2 linked regions of the Caenorhabditis elegans genome follow. The protein of the gene in region 2 purifies or fractionates together with the protein of the main gene of each other region. This does not show direct contact. Each region holds a gene or a part of one and is shown on either strand. Other genes may lie near its edges.

What was found.
Region 1: the proteins of dep-1 (region 2) and puf-12 purify together in Caenorhabditis elegans (affinity purification with mass spectrometry, with the first as the bait; one large-scale study listed by BioGRID). This does not show direct contact.

The regions. Positions count from the first base shown.
Region 1 is NC_003280.10:10,096,642-10,104,084, forward strand, and holds puf-12 (Pumilio domain-containing protein 12), read left to right. Parts: upstream 1-3,668; 5' UTR 3,669-3,687; coding exon 3,688-3,807; intron 3,808-3,857; coding exon 3,858-4,160; intron 4,161-4,207; coding exon 4,208-4,712; intron 4,713-4,764; coding exon 4,765-5,024; intron 5,025-5,070; coding exon 5,071-5,770; intron 5,771-5,817; coding exon 5,818-6,230; 3' UTR 6,231-6,420; downstream 6,421-7,443. Other genes in the region: lact-2 (Beta-lactamase domain-containing protein 2), read left to right, coding at 278-572, 1,113-1,775, 1,824-2,048; pas-7 (Proteasome subunit alpha type-3), read right to left, coding at 2,366-2,935, 2,981-3,093, 3,143-3,212; putative RING finger protein ZK945.4, read right to left, coding at 6,472-6,728, 6,777-6,856, 6,901-6,964, 7,012-7,107, 7,156-7,443.
Region 2 is NC_003280.10:9,015,581-9,023,023, reverse strand, and holds the start of dep-1 (Receptor-type tyrosine-protein phosphatase dep-1), read left to right. Parts: upstream 1-3,225; 5' UTR 3,226-3,256; coding exon 3,257-3,483; intron 3,484-3,543; coding exon 3,544-3,642; intron 3,643-4,107; coding exon 4,108-4,270; intron 4,271-4,314; coding exon 4,315-4,510; intron 4,511-4,555; coding exon 4,556-4,698; intron 4,699-4,858; coding exon 4,859-5,017; intron 5,018-5,145; coding exon 5,146-5,300; intron 5,301-5,346; coding exon 5,347-5,494; intron 5,495-5,574; coding exon 5,575-6,226; intron 6,227-6,271; coding exon 6,272-6,668; intron 6,669-7,199; coding exon 7,200-7,275; intron 7,276-7,353; coding exon 7,354-7,443.

The DNA of each region.
Region 1 (7,443 bases), 1.1 Mb from region 2:
ACTCGACTCCATGAATTTCATAGAATCCAATTTTTGTGACTGATCTCTAGAAGCGTCTTTTAGAAACATTTCCCTATGACTATAAACTACACTTTCTTCCTGACAAGGTCATACATCTCACTCTCTTTTCCACCAAATTATCCTCCACCATCTTGCGTCTTTTTTGCAAAGAAAGTGAGAAGCAAAGTGAACAGTGTAAACAAAAAGCTATTCATTCACAATTCAATTCAAAAACCAATTCTTCTTCAATTCAATGCCACCCTTCTTTCGATTTCAGACGAAACTTTGCCGATGGTTGGGAACGTGAGGGTGCGTCGATTACCGTATACCACAAGGATCGGGTGATTGTGGATCTTCAAGGCGGGTATGCGGACAAGGCGTCGGGCAGGAAATGGACCCCTGACACGAGAACAGTCGTGTTCAGTACAACGAAAGCTGTTGGAGCAGTCTGTGTGGCAATGTTGGTTGATCGAGGTCACATCAGTTATGATGACAAGATGAGCAAGATCTGGCCAGAGTTTGCACAAAATGGGAAGGAGAATATCACAATCGATTGGTTAATGTCACACAGAGTATGTTTAATCTTTTTGGTTTCTAAATCTAACTCGAGGTCCAAAAAATTCTTAGGCAGCGCTGCCTAAGAATTGCCGGCATCAATAATTAGAAACGTTTGAAGTTAAGGTTTTGCCGCTAATGCCTAACGAGACCCAGCTTTTGGGAGAGGAGCGTTATAATTTAGCCTTGGAGCGCAATTCCACCTCGATTTAAAACATGCATTTTTCTGCGTCTCCATAATATATGGAAAACTGTGAGCTCACTCCAAAGGAACTCATTTTTTAAAAGCTCTTTTCTAGTGGAAACGAGACAATAGGTGCTAAATTTTCAATTGTAAATCCTGGTTTTCTCTGTGCACTTTAAAATTCGAAACTTTATCAACTACATTTTCAATATGAAACGAAAAAATTTGTTAAATTTGGAGCCTGTAGCGGTTACTGTAACTGAGATCGTGGCGAGACCCAATGGGAAAAAGGCGGCGCCAGAAAATCGCAATGCAATAATAAATTATAAAAATTCGCATGCTGAATCACATTCAAGTAAATTCTTAATTCCAGGCAGGTCTTGCTGCACTCGATATGCCAATAACCATCGAAGACGCCAACGATTTCGAGAAAATGAGTGAAGTCATCGCATCACAAAAACCAAACTGGGAACCTGGAACTAAATCTGGATATCATGCAATTACTTACGGATGGATCGTTGATCAAATCGTTCGACGCTCCGATCCGAAAGGTCGATCAGTTGGACGATTCTTCAAAGAAGAAGTCGCCGATGTTCACGGAATCGACTTTCATATTGGATTACCGCCAAGCGAAGAGCATACCGTATCCCGTCTTTCAATGCCGTCCACACTTCATCTCGTTCGGGAGATTGTTCATGATCCACGTGTTCTGATTGTACTTGCAGTTTTTAATCTTCGACCACCAAATTCTATTGCAAGAAAGATTGCTGCAAATCCAACGTGGTTCAAGTTGGAACAGGATGTGAACACCTTTAATAATCCAACTCTACATGCTATGGAGCAAGTCGCTGCTCTTGGTATTACAAAGTCAAGAGATTTAGCTAGACTTTTCTCACTCGTACAACAAGGAAAACTGTTCTCTACTGAACTTCTAGAAAAGTTCCGTGCCCCCCAAGTTCAGGGGATTGATGAAGTTGTCATGACTCCTCTACCAAAAGGACATGGTTTCCTATACGAGAGACATCCAATGGGAGGGGTGAGCATCGTTTTAATAAATATAATAATAAATCAATTATTTTTTCAGAAAAAGTGGCTTGTTGGACATCCTGGTTACGGTGGCAGCACAGTAATGATGGATTTGGAAGATGGGATCACGATTGCCTACGTCTCGAATGGATTGAAAACTGGAATGGGAGAGCTTACGAGAACATACAGACATCTTCGAGATTCTGTATTTGAGTGCTTGGAGAAACAGAAGACTGGTCAAAGTGTGATGATCGAGGAAGCAGTTCAAGCAGTTGCCGCATAACTTAAAAAATTGTTGTTATCCTTGTTTGTACATAGCGCCATAATTTGGGACGGGTCTACTGCCCCCAGCGAATTGTGCATAAACATGTTTCTGGTTTGTCTGAATTTGTATTGAGAAAAATGGGTAATACCGGGAAACCGAAAAATAATGAACAGAAAAAGTTAAAAAAAAACATCCGGGTGCAAAAAGTTCTTCTTGAAGTCGGTGAGTCGGTTTGAAGTACAATAAAATGACTCGCCGAGCGCAAGAAGTTTACCAGGGCAGAAAGAAGAGAGCTGATAATAAATTAAAAATGTGAATAAATACACGAGAATGATTCAATCGTCCATGTCGTCCTCGTCAAGCTTGGCAATAGCCCATTCCTCGGCAGCAGTGACAACCTCGCTTGGAACTTCTTCGTACTTTCCGTTCGTCTGCTCACCGACCCATCCCATTTCGATTTGAACGTTTTTATCCTTGTTCTCGTCACGCACCACCATAATGATTCGAGCAGCTTCCTTCACGAGTTGATTCACATCCAGCTCCTCGATCTTCAGCTTCTCAATCTCAGCTTTTGCGGCTTGGCGATGTTTTCCGACAGCCCATGCCTTGTATTCATAGTTTAGACCTGATGGCTCCACAAGGAAAAGACGTCCTCCAGTTTGTTTGTTCCATGACATGAAGAAGGCTCCTGCTCCAAACGGACGACTAATGCCGAGAGTGTGAATGTGAATGTACTCAGCAACTGAGTTAGCAATATTCTGAATCGGCATTGGCTCACGGTAGTCTTTGAGCCACTTCATTGCTTCTCCGTAAGCATAGTTCTTCAGAGCGAAACCATCTGGATAGTTTCCAGCAACTGCGACACCAACATTGTCGTTCACGTTAAACATTCTTGGATTAGCGTTCTGAAAATTATAGATAAAATCTTGAAAATCTCTTAAATTACTCACATCAGTGTAAAGTTTGGAAGAGATCAGCTTGTCAGCAACGACCACAACTCCGTTCTTGCCACGAATTGCAATCATTGTTCCTGCATTGTCGACAGCCTTTTGAGCGTACTCGACTGAAAACGAGATTATGAGTATTTTGAACAAAGCAAAATCGAAACAAACCTTGGAAAATTCTGCCATCAGGAGAAAAAGTAGAGGCGGCGAGATCGTAGCCGGTACCGATTGAACTCATTCTGCAAAATAAAAACTATGTTAACACATATATGATTGCAACTGGTACGTGTTTTATTTCTGCGGAAATCAGAAGAACCGTTAAAATTTAATATTTAATAATTCGTTTATTTGAATGCGTTAAAAATAGTAGAATTATTGCGAAAATAAAAGCTGATAATCTGAAAATGGCAGCTAAATGGAAATAAAATTTCAAATGATGATTTTCCAATGTCGATTTACGGGAGAGACGAACATTGCGGCAGGTCTCGCAACGACGAAGAAGAGAGTGTGTAAATTGAGAGACGTCAGAAGACAACATGCGCCTTTAACATTTTCTTTTCATTTTTCTTTACTTTTTCGTAACTTTTTGTTACTATTTTGAAGCTGTGCAATTTGTTTCCAAAGTAAAAATCGCTTAAACCTCACATAAAATTGTCTTGTGTTTATTACTCCTTTTAATATGCGTGTCTTTCAGAGAAATCTCGCGGGTAAAAATGGTGAAACTCGACGACAAAAATAAAAAATTCAAAGGGAAGAAGAAGGTTAAAAATGTGTTGGAGAAAAAGGCAAAAGGATTAAAACTCAACAAAGTAGACAGAAAGCGAATTGTTAAGGTTTGTTAAATTACTTCATTTTGTAAATAATTTTTTGTGAAATATTTCAGATTGAAGAAAAAGCAGCGTTAAAAAGCAAAGTAGACAAAGCTGTGAAGGACGAGTTGGAAAGGTTGAAAAAGTCATCTTCAACATCAGTTTTTGATAATGATGGGACTCGTGACTCTTTGTGCTCGGAGTCTTCGTTCGGAAGCCAGCCAGCACCGAAAAAGAAATCGAAAAAAGTGCTTTTCTCAGGAGAACTTGAACATGTTAAGGTTTTCGATAAGCGAGTTCAGGATCTTCAAATCAAACCATCAGAGGCATCTCCAGGAAGAGGAATTCTCAGATCCCCTCTTGATAAGAAGGTTAAGGTTTGTTAATTCAATATATCGTCTTTTACACAATTGTTTTTTTTCAGAAACTTGCCAAAGTGAAGACTGTCAAAGTTGCTCAGGAAGAAGAAGAAGAGCATTCCGCTCCCCCAAAGAAAAAAGTGAAGGTTAATGCAGAGAAAGCCGTTGCTTCTGAGCCAGCAGACGATGAAAATTTGGAATCTGTCGACGAACAAGCAGGTGGAGATGAATCTCATATTGACATTCCAACTCTAAAGAGAAAGAGAGTAGCTATTCAAGTCACAAAGTCTGTTAAAGAACAATTGCTGAATATGCCGAGAAAAGAAAGAAAAGCATTTTTGAAGGAGTTGAAATTGAAGAGAAAACCTGAAGGAGCTCGTGCTCAAAAATGCAAGGAACTTTGGGAAAAGATCAGAATGGGAAAGACGCCAAAAGCTGAAAAGGATACTGCGGTTCACGAGTTGTATGGTCTTGTAAAAGGACACGCTGCCAAGCTGATCTATGCTCACGACACCAGCAGAGTTATCGAATGTCTTGTTGCCACTGAAAGAGAAGGAATCATTAACAACTGTAAGTTTTTTGAAGGTTCCCATGAATAATTACGAGAACATAATTATTGCAGTGTTCAACGAATTAACCCCAGAAATAGTGAGGATGTCAAAGAACGTCTATTCCAAATTTTTCGTCAAGAAAATGTTGAAGAATGGAACTAAAGAACAACGTGATATTATCATTAATGCATTCCGCGGACATGCTCCAACCCTGCTCAGAATCAAACATGCTGCCGAAGTTCTTGAATATGCTTACAATGACTTCGCTAATGCCCATCAGCGTTACAACATCATTACTGAATTTTATGGAAAAGAATTCATTTTGTTCAGAGTAAACAACATTCAATTAAGCTCTAAAAATAGTTTGTTGATTTCAGGAAGACAATATCAGATCTCTGACGGAGATTCTCGCTGAAAAGCCGGAAAAGAAGGTTGTGATTTTGAAGCATTTGGACGAGGTTATTGGAGCAGTGAATGAAAAAGAAACTTTGCGACTTTCAATTCTGCACAAACTTATGCTCGACTTTTTCGATAATTGCGACGAGGAAAAGAAAATCAATCTCCTTGATTCACTGAAAGATAAAATTCCCGAGTTCATTCATACTCCAGATGGTGCCAAATTGGCTATTAAACTCATTTGGTTTGCTCCAGTCAAGGAAAGAAAATTGATCGTCAAGAATTTCAAGGATTTGTCAGTAAAAGCCGCAATGGAACATTACGGACATCGTGTTCTTCTTGCACTTTTTGATACTGTCGACGATACTGTTCTTCTCAATAAGGTTATTGTCTCCGAGTTGGCAAATGAAATGAAGAAGTTGATCGAAGATGATTGGGGAGAGAAAGTTATCCACTATTTGGTGCATCCAAGAGATGGAAGAGGAATCGACAAAAGAGAAATTACATTCCTTGCCGAAGGTGATAGCAATCCACACTCGAAGAAAACTCAAAAGGATAGATATGGACAGTTGTACGCCGGTATTACCGAGAACTTGTATCCTTATTTGGCTGCTAACTTCGAAGAGCTTGTTTTCGAGGCCAACAAGTCAAAATTCGTGGCTGCATGTCTCGAAACCACCTGTAAGTTTAAAAGTTGCACAATTATAAAGAATTCGAGTTTTTTTCAGCAAGCTTCGATTTGTTCGATCGACAAGTCCCAGCAGAAGCTCGCAAGAGTTGCAACCAAGCGATCGTTGAATTGGCGAAGAAGGACTTTGTACCAATGGACCAGGAAGGCTTCCACATTATTGAACACCAATCGGGCAATTTCATTCTCATGGCAGTCATGCGCTGTGATGCCGCTCTACAAGAAGATGAACGTTTGTCAGTTGCATTGGCAGAAGGACTTACGAGCAAGCAGCTTGGCTCGTGGGTGACTTGCAATCGCGGTTGCCATGTTCTCTTGAAAATGCTTCAAGTTGGAGGACCGAAAGTTATTGAAAAATTGAAGGCTTCGATCAGCAGAAAACACTTGGATGGCTATAACTCAAAAGGAGCAAATCTTCTGAAGGCACAGCTCGACGGAAATGTCAAGAAGTGAGAATGCAAGGTATACGAATTAATTTTTGTTGATTTTATTTGTTTTGAGGGATTCGTCCTATACATCTCTAAATACCACACCTTTTTATTGTTCTCGTTATTTTGTTGTTGACTTTTTTTTTATTACTTTTTGCATCTCGTTAATTTTTTGAAACACCGTACGGTAATAAAAAGGAAAAATATAAAAAAAACGTTGTAAAAACACAGAATTGAGATCATAATAACAGTGTGCAATTATAATTTTAGATTATTGATTCATTAACAATTTTCTCGATATCCTCGCTTCGGTCGACATTTACGACAACGGTGATTTTTGGCATTTTGTTATGGAGATCCGCCAGCTTAGTGAGAAAATTCGATGCAGCTTCGCCATGTCCACGAGAATAGCTTTTCAGACCAACAATTATTTTTTCATATGCTACAGCTTCTTCCAACTGCTCCAGAGCGACAAAGTATCGATCACGATCACCATCGAGCAGATCAACTATCATTATTAAGCCTTAATCTTTCAGTTTTCAGATGACGCAACAATTATCGAAAAACTCACGCAATCCTTCAGAATAAATCGTAAGATCTTCAGTTCTGTCAATGATTTCTAAAAAGTCGCAATTATAACGAAGAATGTTTCTGTAAATTGAAGAAATTGTAGAATAACTAAATAATAGACTTACGATCGGGACGAAATTCGAGTGCTGTGGTTTTCGATGAACTTTCTCACTTCGTTTCGGTGACACTCTGAAATAAGAAAAACGGAAATTTGTTGAATTTCCGAAAAGAAATACCTCGAATTTCCAATCTAAATGCCGGTATCATCTCAATTTGCAATGGACGTTGTGATAGAACATGAACAATACACGTCGAGCAGTCAGCCAGGAACTCTATAAAATAAATTACAGATCTTAAACTCTTTAGATAAAGCTCAATACCAGGTCTTCTGACAGCTGAATCCTTTTCAATCCGCTTCACAGTCACTTCAAGTTCCCACTTTCGCTGAACAAGCTTCATATTCGGCAGAGCCGACAGTTTCACAATGGCATCCTTATTTTTCTGCAGCCAATCGAGATCCAGCTTCTGGTTGGAGATTTTATACTCGAGGACTCGGACTCTTTTCACCACCTCGTTCTCCAATACTTTGATTGCTTGATCCATTTCTCCCATTTCAAAATGTCGAAATCTCAGGAGCTCATTCTTTTTTTGGAAAAACGGCTCTCCGT
Region 2 (7,443 bases):
ATCATGGCATAGATTTTCGTTTATTTATCAAGCAATATCAAAAGGTTAATTCAATATTTATTTGAATACGGGACAAAAACAGTCTAGCTTTCTTCACTTCACAATCTTTCAATTTTTAAAATTGAGCTGAAATCTTCATTTTGAAAATTAACTTTTTACATTATGCTTGCACAATATGTATTTTTCCAAAGAGTCTTCCCGAATTCATTCTAGATAAGCGTCTTAAAATTGTTTCAAAAGAAACTAGACTATATTTCGATCATTCAAAAAGCCAATCAAGTAAATCCCGGAACAGATCCATTCTTTCCAACGAGCTCTCAAAAAGAGCATCTCTTCGGTCAGTCGGTCTTTATTTGCGTATGCACTTTTTCTTATCGTCAAAACGTTTTCTCTCACTTCTCATCTTTTTATTTTATTTTGATGATTTGTTTTGTTTTCTTGAAGGGTTTAGACTTTATTACTTAAACTATTTTTATATTAAAAGCAATTATTTTTGTGCCAATTTTAACTCAAACAAAGCCCATAAGATCGGTTTCACTTTCAAATATCTTTTGTCTAAATAATATTGAAAAGTTTCAATTCTAATTAATTTGTTTAATTACATAATTTTGTTTTAATCTTTTTACATTTCCGGAAAATATTATTTCCATTGCCTGAATGTGCCATAGTACCGAAAATTTCCGAGACCATTAAATTTAGAAATGGCCGGTTATTGAAAAAAGCCAAATACTTTTAAAACCGACAACTGCCGTAAATTCCCAGTTGCTCAATATCTCCAAAACCGGCAATTTCCAAAACTGCCGATCTCTAAAATTTTTGATTGGCTCAAACACAAAGCTCAAAAACATTTACTTAAAGTCGCTGCCACAAAATTACTTACCTGTACTTTGAATGTAACTATTTCTTCCATTTCTCTCAATTTATCCAACTCCTTTCAAATTACCTACGCCAATACCTTCCTGTCCTTTTTCACTTACTGACTAATCGTTGCTTACCGTCCTTATTCCTAGCGACCCCTTGAATAGATTCCAGCTGCCTATGCATCCAACCTGTTTCCTTCTCTTTCTTTCCCCATCTCTATACCATTTCGATTCGTTTCCAACACGTCAGTATCAATTACCGTATAGGACTTTTTGGTGGGACGAGTGTGATGTGGTGAATGATTCAAAACATAAACATTCAAGAATTGTTGCCTTTTAAACAACAGTAATCCGTTTTTGTGGATTAGATCCTCGTATTGCCTTGAGAAATGAATAGAAAAATAAACTATTGTGTTTATGCGTTCCTTCATTCTTTCTTTTCTTCTAACATCTATTATTATAAACAATCAGAGGGAGGGGATGACCGCAAGATGCTCGTAAATCTTCACTCTTCATTCGGGTCATTTTCTTCATTTCCTTACATCTTCCGGCATCTTCTTGGCTCATTTGATACTTCTCATATTTCTTCATTACTACAAAAATTTGATCTCTCGTATCTAAATCATGAAATTCTTCTTTGCAAATTTGTAATCTTAGGTTTTTACGCTATACCCCTTAATACCTCTGGAATTTCCAAAAAGACATAGACAGTCCCAAATTAGATTATTGCACAGAACTGTACGTTTTGGTGCAAAAACAAATTCTGAAAATATTTCTGTCTGCAGTATACTATATTATTTTAATTTAATTTGTTATTTTTCTTACGAAAATCCATTTTATTTCTGAAAAAATACAGTGGCGCCAAACTTTCAGAAATCGTTTTTTCTGAAATAGCTGTTGACCTATAGAATATGGTGTCAAGTGAAAATAAATTATGGTACCTAATTCCCAGTTCCCACCAGTTACCTTGAGAAAATGTTAATTTGCGCTTCAGCGCATCGTAGCCGCCAGCCTCATCTCCTGAATCGTTACCTCGTTATAACTGTAGGTCAGTAAAAGTAGATTCTTCATACCCTGGATCTTCAGAGACTTTAACTTAATCCTCTGAACTTTACAAAATACGACTCTGTGCGTTTCCCGATGTTATTGTCACCTTGAAGTAGATGAATGGCATCTTCGTTTTGGCGACACAAGGAGTACTTGACTATATGGCATCGTCGGATGTCTGCGTCTCTTCGACGTCCTTGACACTCATCTCGGCACCGTCTTCTTGCTGCTTTCCCGCCACTCCACAGGAGACAGACACCAATCCGTTTTCTCCCCCCAAAAACCACAGTTTTGTGCGAACTGAACAATCCACATACAAAGATGCATACAACTAAGTGAGGACATCCTTCTTTGTCCCTTCTACTATACCATTTTTAAATCTTAAAGATTTATTCAAACATATCTACCGTACTCTTTCTGATTGAACTCGAAATCTGACTCAGCTCATATTTCGATGTTTTTGGTTACATTATCGTATTTCTGATAAATTATGGTATTTTAAATCTTTTCAAAAAACTAGACATTCTCGAACCACCATTTGCCAAAAGTTTTTTCTTGAAACATTTTTCCTAAAGGTACCTTTTTTTTACAAATTCGGTCATTAATTCTTTGATCAATCCAGGATGACTCATGAATGTATTTTCTGGTTTTCTCCTTCGCATTTCTAATGTGATTCAAATTGGAACAATTGACTTTTTGAATTTTAAATTTTCAAACAACATTTCTCCTCCTCTATTATTGAACATGCATTTTATTTTAAAAAACATATTTATTCTATGAATTCTACCATTTCCATCCTTGTCATTATGATGATGATTGTTCCATATTACCAGTTTCTTCTTCTAACCAGAATTACTCTTCAAGCTTCTCTTTGTTCCGTCAACAGTTGAAGCCTCACTTGACATCTTCCAATACCTGTCTCAGTAGTTGCTTAATAACTTTATTTTCAAAATAAAAATCTTCAAATTTGTTTTTGAGGAATTTTTCCTAAACTTTAAAAATTCTGAATCTGAAAAAAGCTCTCTACTTTTTCCCTCAACTTATCTCAAATTTCTTTGCAATCATCAAAGCGGCCATTGGGTCAAACGTAAAACATGATGACCCTATTTTCCCCTTGAACCCTCATATTTTTCTTGCTAATTGGAAAGTTCGCAAGACACTTCTGAAGTGATAAACTACTCTCTCTTCCGAATCTTTTCAATTCCGACGGTCAATTCGATCACTTTCCCTCTCAATCTTGTGTTTCTTGTCATTGTCATTTTCTTTCTTGTCATTTTGACCTTCTTTTCGAATTGCTTCATCTATCTATTCCCTTTTATTCAACTTTTTTTATTTTTTTGGATCATGAAATGATACGCTGGAAGTACGAACTACACTCTCTCATATGGCTATTTCTCGTGCTGCACCTCTCGAAATGTCAATCAGATTCACTGACAACATCGGCTGAGCAGCACGAGTTATTTGCCATCAAGAAGGATTCCTTATCGCCTTGGTCACAGATTCTTGTTTCATTACCAAGACGGCATCCATTGTATCAAAGTTTTGCCGCCAAGATTCAAGATGTCACTGAGAATATGTGAGTTTTTAATCAAGATTTTCAATAGAATTTTTTAAAATTAATTATTTGTGGTTTCAGTTCGGACGAAGTCAGAGATTCCAACAAAACATTCGTTTCTTCCGATGATGCTCCGTATAGTATTCGAATACATGCTCTTCGTGCCGGACATCGTTATTCGTAAGTTTGTTTTAACTATGCAGAAAATTAGAAGGAAATAAAAATTCCAAATAAAAAATTCATCTTCTGAGACACAGTTTAATGTTCTCGCAATTTGGCGCTTTCGTAAAGCGTTTTCCCAAATCTTGCCAATTTTGAAAACTAATATACGTTTTTGGGAGAACTGCTATTGTTAACTGATATTCAATTATTCGAAAAAATTCCACCTGTTCTGGCTACTTCAGCTTACAAAACAATAACTAAAGTTTCATTTTCTTTATAAAATGCTATCGATTAATTCACAACTCTGTTCTGTAAGTGTTTGGAAATGTTTGTTTAACATGGAATTTTGAAGTAAACATTTTTGTAGATTTAAAGTTTATGTAATTGTAGTTCAGATTAATTTTTGTATTCCAAAGAGAAGTACAACTGAACATTTAGTTTGTATTTTCCAACAACAATATATCTATAGGATAATTATTTCAGAATTGCCATTCACGGTCAAAAGGATGGATCAACTTCTCTGATAAAAGAAGAATCAGTTGTAATGGATCCGAGAGCGCCAGACTTTCGATCCATGGATTCTGATATTCAAGTCGCTGAGCACAACATCACAATGAGAACAATTAAAAATGATTCTTATCTTCAAGTAAGAATACCTTACCATTTTAGATGCAATGCTCATAATTTCAGGATTCGTTCTCAATTGAATATCGACAAATAAATCCGGACAAGAAATTTCCAGTTCTCCAAATTCTCGACATCCCGGAGCAGAAAAATTTGGAATTTTACCTTGGAAATTTGAATTCTGGATTTGATTATTCAGTTCGAGTAATTGCGCATAAAGACGGAATGAGTAGTAGACCATGGATATCAACTCTTACTACAAGTTAGTTATTGAAAGTTGTTTCAAATATTATTGAAAAAATTTCAGAGCCATCGCCATTGAAAGAAGTGAATATTAATCAAAACGCTGGATCGTGTGTGGAAGTTTCATGGCAAAATGATGAATTCAGTGGAGCTGATTTTTATACAATTCAATATTCACTTCAATCAACTCCTAACAACTCAACAAATGTAAGTCATATTAAAGGTTTCAAGAAAGGAAAAATATATATCTTAACTACAAAGGAAACTCGTCTCAAACGTGACTCAAATTTCTTTCGAAAGTCAAAAAATTAGTTATATTTGAATGTTCTTCCCGACTACTTTTCAAATATGAATTTTTCATTTTCAGATGACAATTCCATCAACAGAATCTTCCATATCAATATGTGATTCAATGTTGCAAGGAGAAGCATATCAAATTATTGCGACTGTTCAAAAAGGCGGTCAAGTCTCTGAACCACTGATCACAAAGTTTCAGCTTCGTCCCCTTCCACCAATTGACTTTAGAGTGAGTTTTATTTGTTTATTTCTTGTCAACCATTCAAATTTTCAAAAAAAGCAATCAATTACTGAGAAAAATCAAAATATAAGACTGTTTTAAAGATTAATTTAAAATTTCTTATTTCCGATTTTTAGGTTCGTGCTGATTTGAAACGTGGAAAGTACAAACTTCTTGCGGAGCTACCAACGTCGTCTAAAATTGATAAGTGTCAGATAACAGTTGCTGGAGATGAAGCTGAAAGATCAGTCAATTACGCGAATATTGAACAAACTAAATCTGGACACAAAATGTGAGTTATAGGAAATGCGCTCTTAATTTAATATTTTATATTTTAGATGCTGGTTTAACTTTGCACTTTCACCGGGAGAACGTTTCGATTTTTCGATTTCTTCGATGGCAAATGAGTCTGCAAGTCAGAAACTTCAGAAGAGCATCGTGCTCACACCAGCTTTTGATTTCAATGCATTTGGATTAACACTGCAGGTAAACTTTCTAGTTTTAATAAATAAAAATTTAATTTGTTCTCAAATTTTTTATTTAAATACAAATATATAATTTTTCAGGAATCGAACGGAGGAATTGAATTGATATGGCCGAAAAGTGAGGTTTTTATGACACGTGTCAAAGATATTTGGAACAAAGTAGTTGGAGCGGAAAGTCTTTTGAATATGAGAATAACTCCAATTGGAAACAATGATGAGACAGATAAAACTCTAAAGTTTGAAACATCTCCAAAAAATATAGATCCCGTATTCGCGAAGAATCTTGTAAAAGGAGCATGCTATCGTGTTCAACTATTCACTGTTACAAAAACTGGAATAATATCTGAGACACGTCACAATGAAACAATTCGAATGTCAAGTCCAGCAGTGAATGTTTCATTGGAAAGTGTTACAAGGTCATCTGCAACTCTTCGAATTGTATTTTCAACTCATCACGATTCCACATCCATATCAAATTGTCAAATGCATATTGTTGTACGAGATATGAATGGGAAAAGTGTTTTCGATAAGAGAATGCAACTCACTGCAACATTTGCTCCATTGCTCAATTTGGATGGATTAAGCCCATTTCACAAGTATACAGTAAATACACAAATTATATGTGGAAGTGGAAGCAGTGAGACTCCACAGTGTCCAGCGGCTACAAGGACAATGAGGCAATTGTCGTTTTCTACGAGACAGGATAAACCAGCGGCTGTGCAAGATCTGAAAGGTTGGTTTAAAAAAAATTGGCATTTAAACTAAGTATTTATTTCAGTTGAACCATTGAATTCTTACTCAGTGATGCTCACGTGGCTTCCACCAGCACTTCCAAATGGAATTCTAACGCATTACGCAGTTAATGTGACTAAAATAGGATCGGATGAGACTAGAACAATTGATGTTGGAGTCTCCTCGAATCGTTCCGATCATACTGTTCAAGTGGTCATTGATGAACTTTTTGGAGGACACACTTACAGTTTCAGTGTTCGGGCAGTGACTGAAGCTGGATTCGGAGAGAATTCTCCAGTTGTTCCGACTGTTTCAATGCCACTTATGGCACCACCAGTGCCTACAGTAGCTCCAATGATTATGAAGGAAAGTGTTGGAAGTCATAATATGATTGTGAGATTTCCAACAACAATGTTCGATAATAGAAACGGAGAAATTAAACAGTAAGTTTTTAAATGGAATTGGAATTGGATAATAAACATTTTTACAAAACCTTTTTCAAAGTCAAAAGGCCTGATAAATCTAAAATTATTTTAGTGTTGATAGGAAGGCACTTTTTTATGCGGGCCTGATTCATGCCTGCATATCACTTATTTTTTGAATTTTGACACCGGCTTCCAATTGTTAGTTATTTGGTGTTTATTGTGGAAATTTTAACTAACTACTAAGAATTGGGGAAAGTTTTACTTTGGCAGAAGACACGTGTGTAGGCATAAGGCATGCACAGGCTGGCATTATTATAGTTAAACTTTCTTCCAAACTATTTGAAACTGCCAGTAACATATTTCACTCATTTAAGAGAATAGTCTTTTGACAAAAGTTTTAAATTCTATTTTTAATCCAAGACATTAAAAATTTAAGTTGGAAAAGACGGTAAGTACAGTGATTAATATAACTTTCCAAAACTGAAAATATTAATCTTCCAAGTGTTTTGTTTAGATTCTATGAAAATAGTGCTTCATTTTCCTTTTCAGATTTGCTATAATTGTCTCGGAAACCACAGCTGACGAATCTATAAATAGATGGATAGAGAGCGACAACGGAACTTATGTAAGCAACTAAACTTATTTGCATTATGAAAAAATAATAAGTTAATCAAATGATGACGTCTCTATAATATATTTTCAGACATGGCAACAAGTACAACGATTTGATGTTTGGCCATCTTACGTGGCAAAACTTCAAGATATTCAGAAAGTGAAACAAGATGTAGATGTG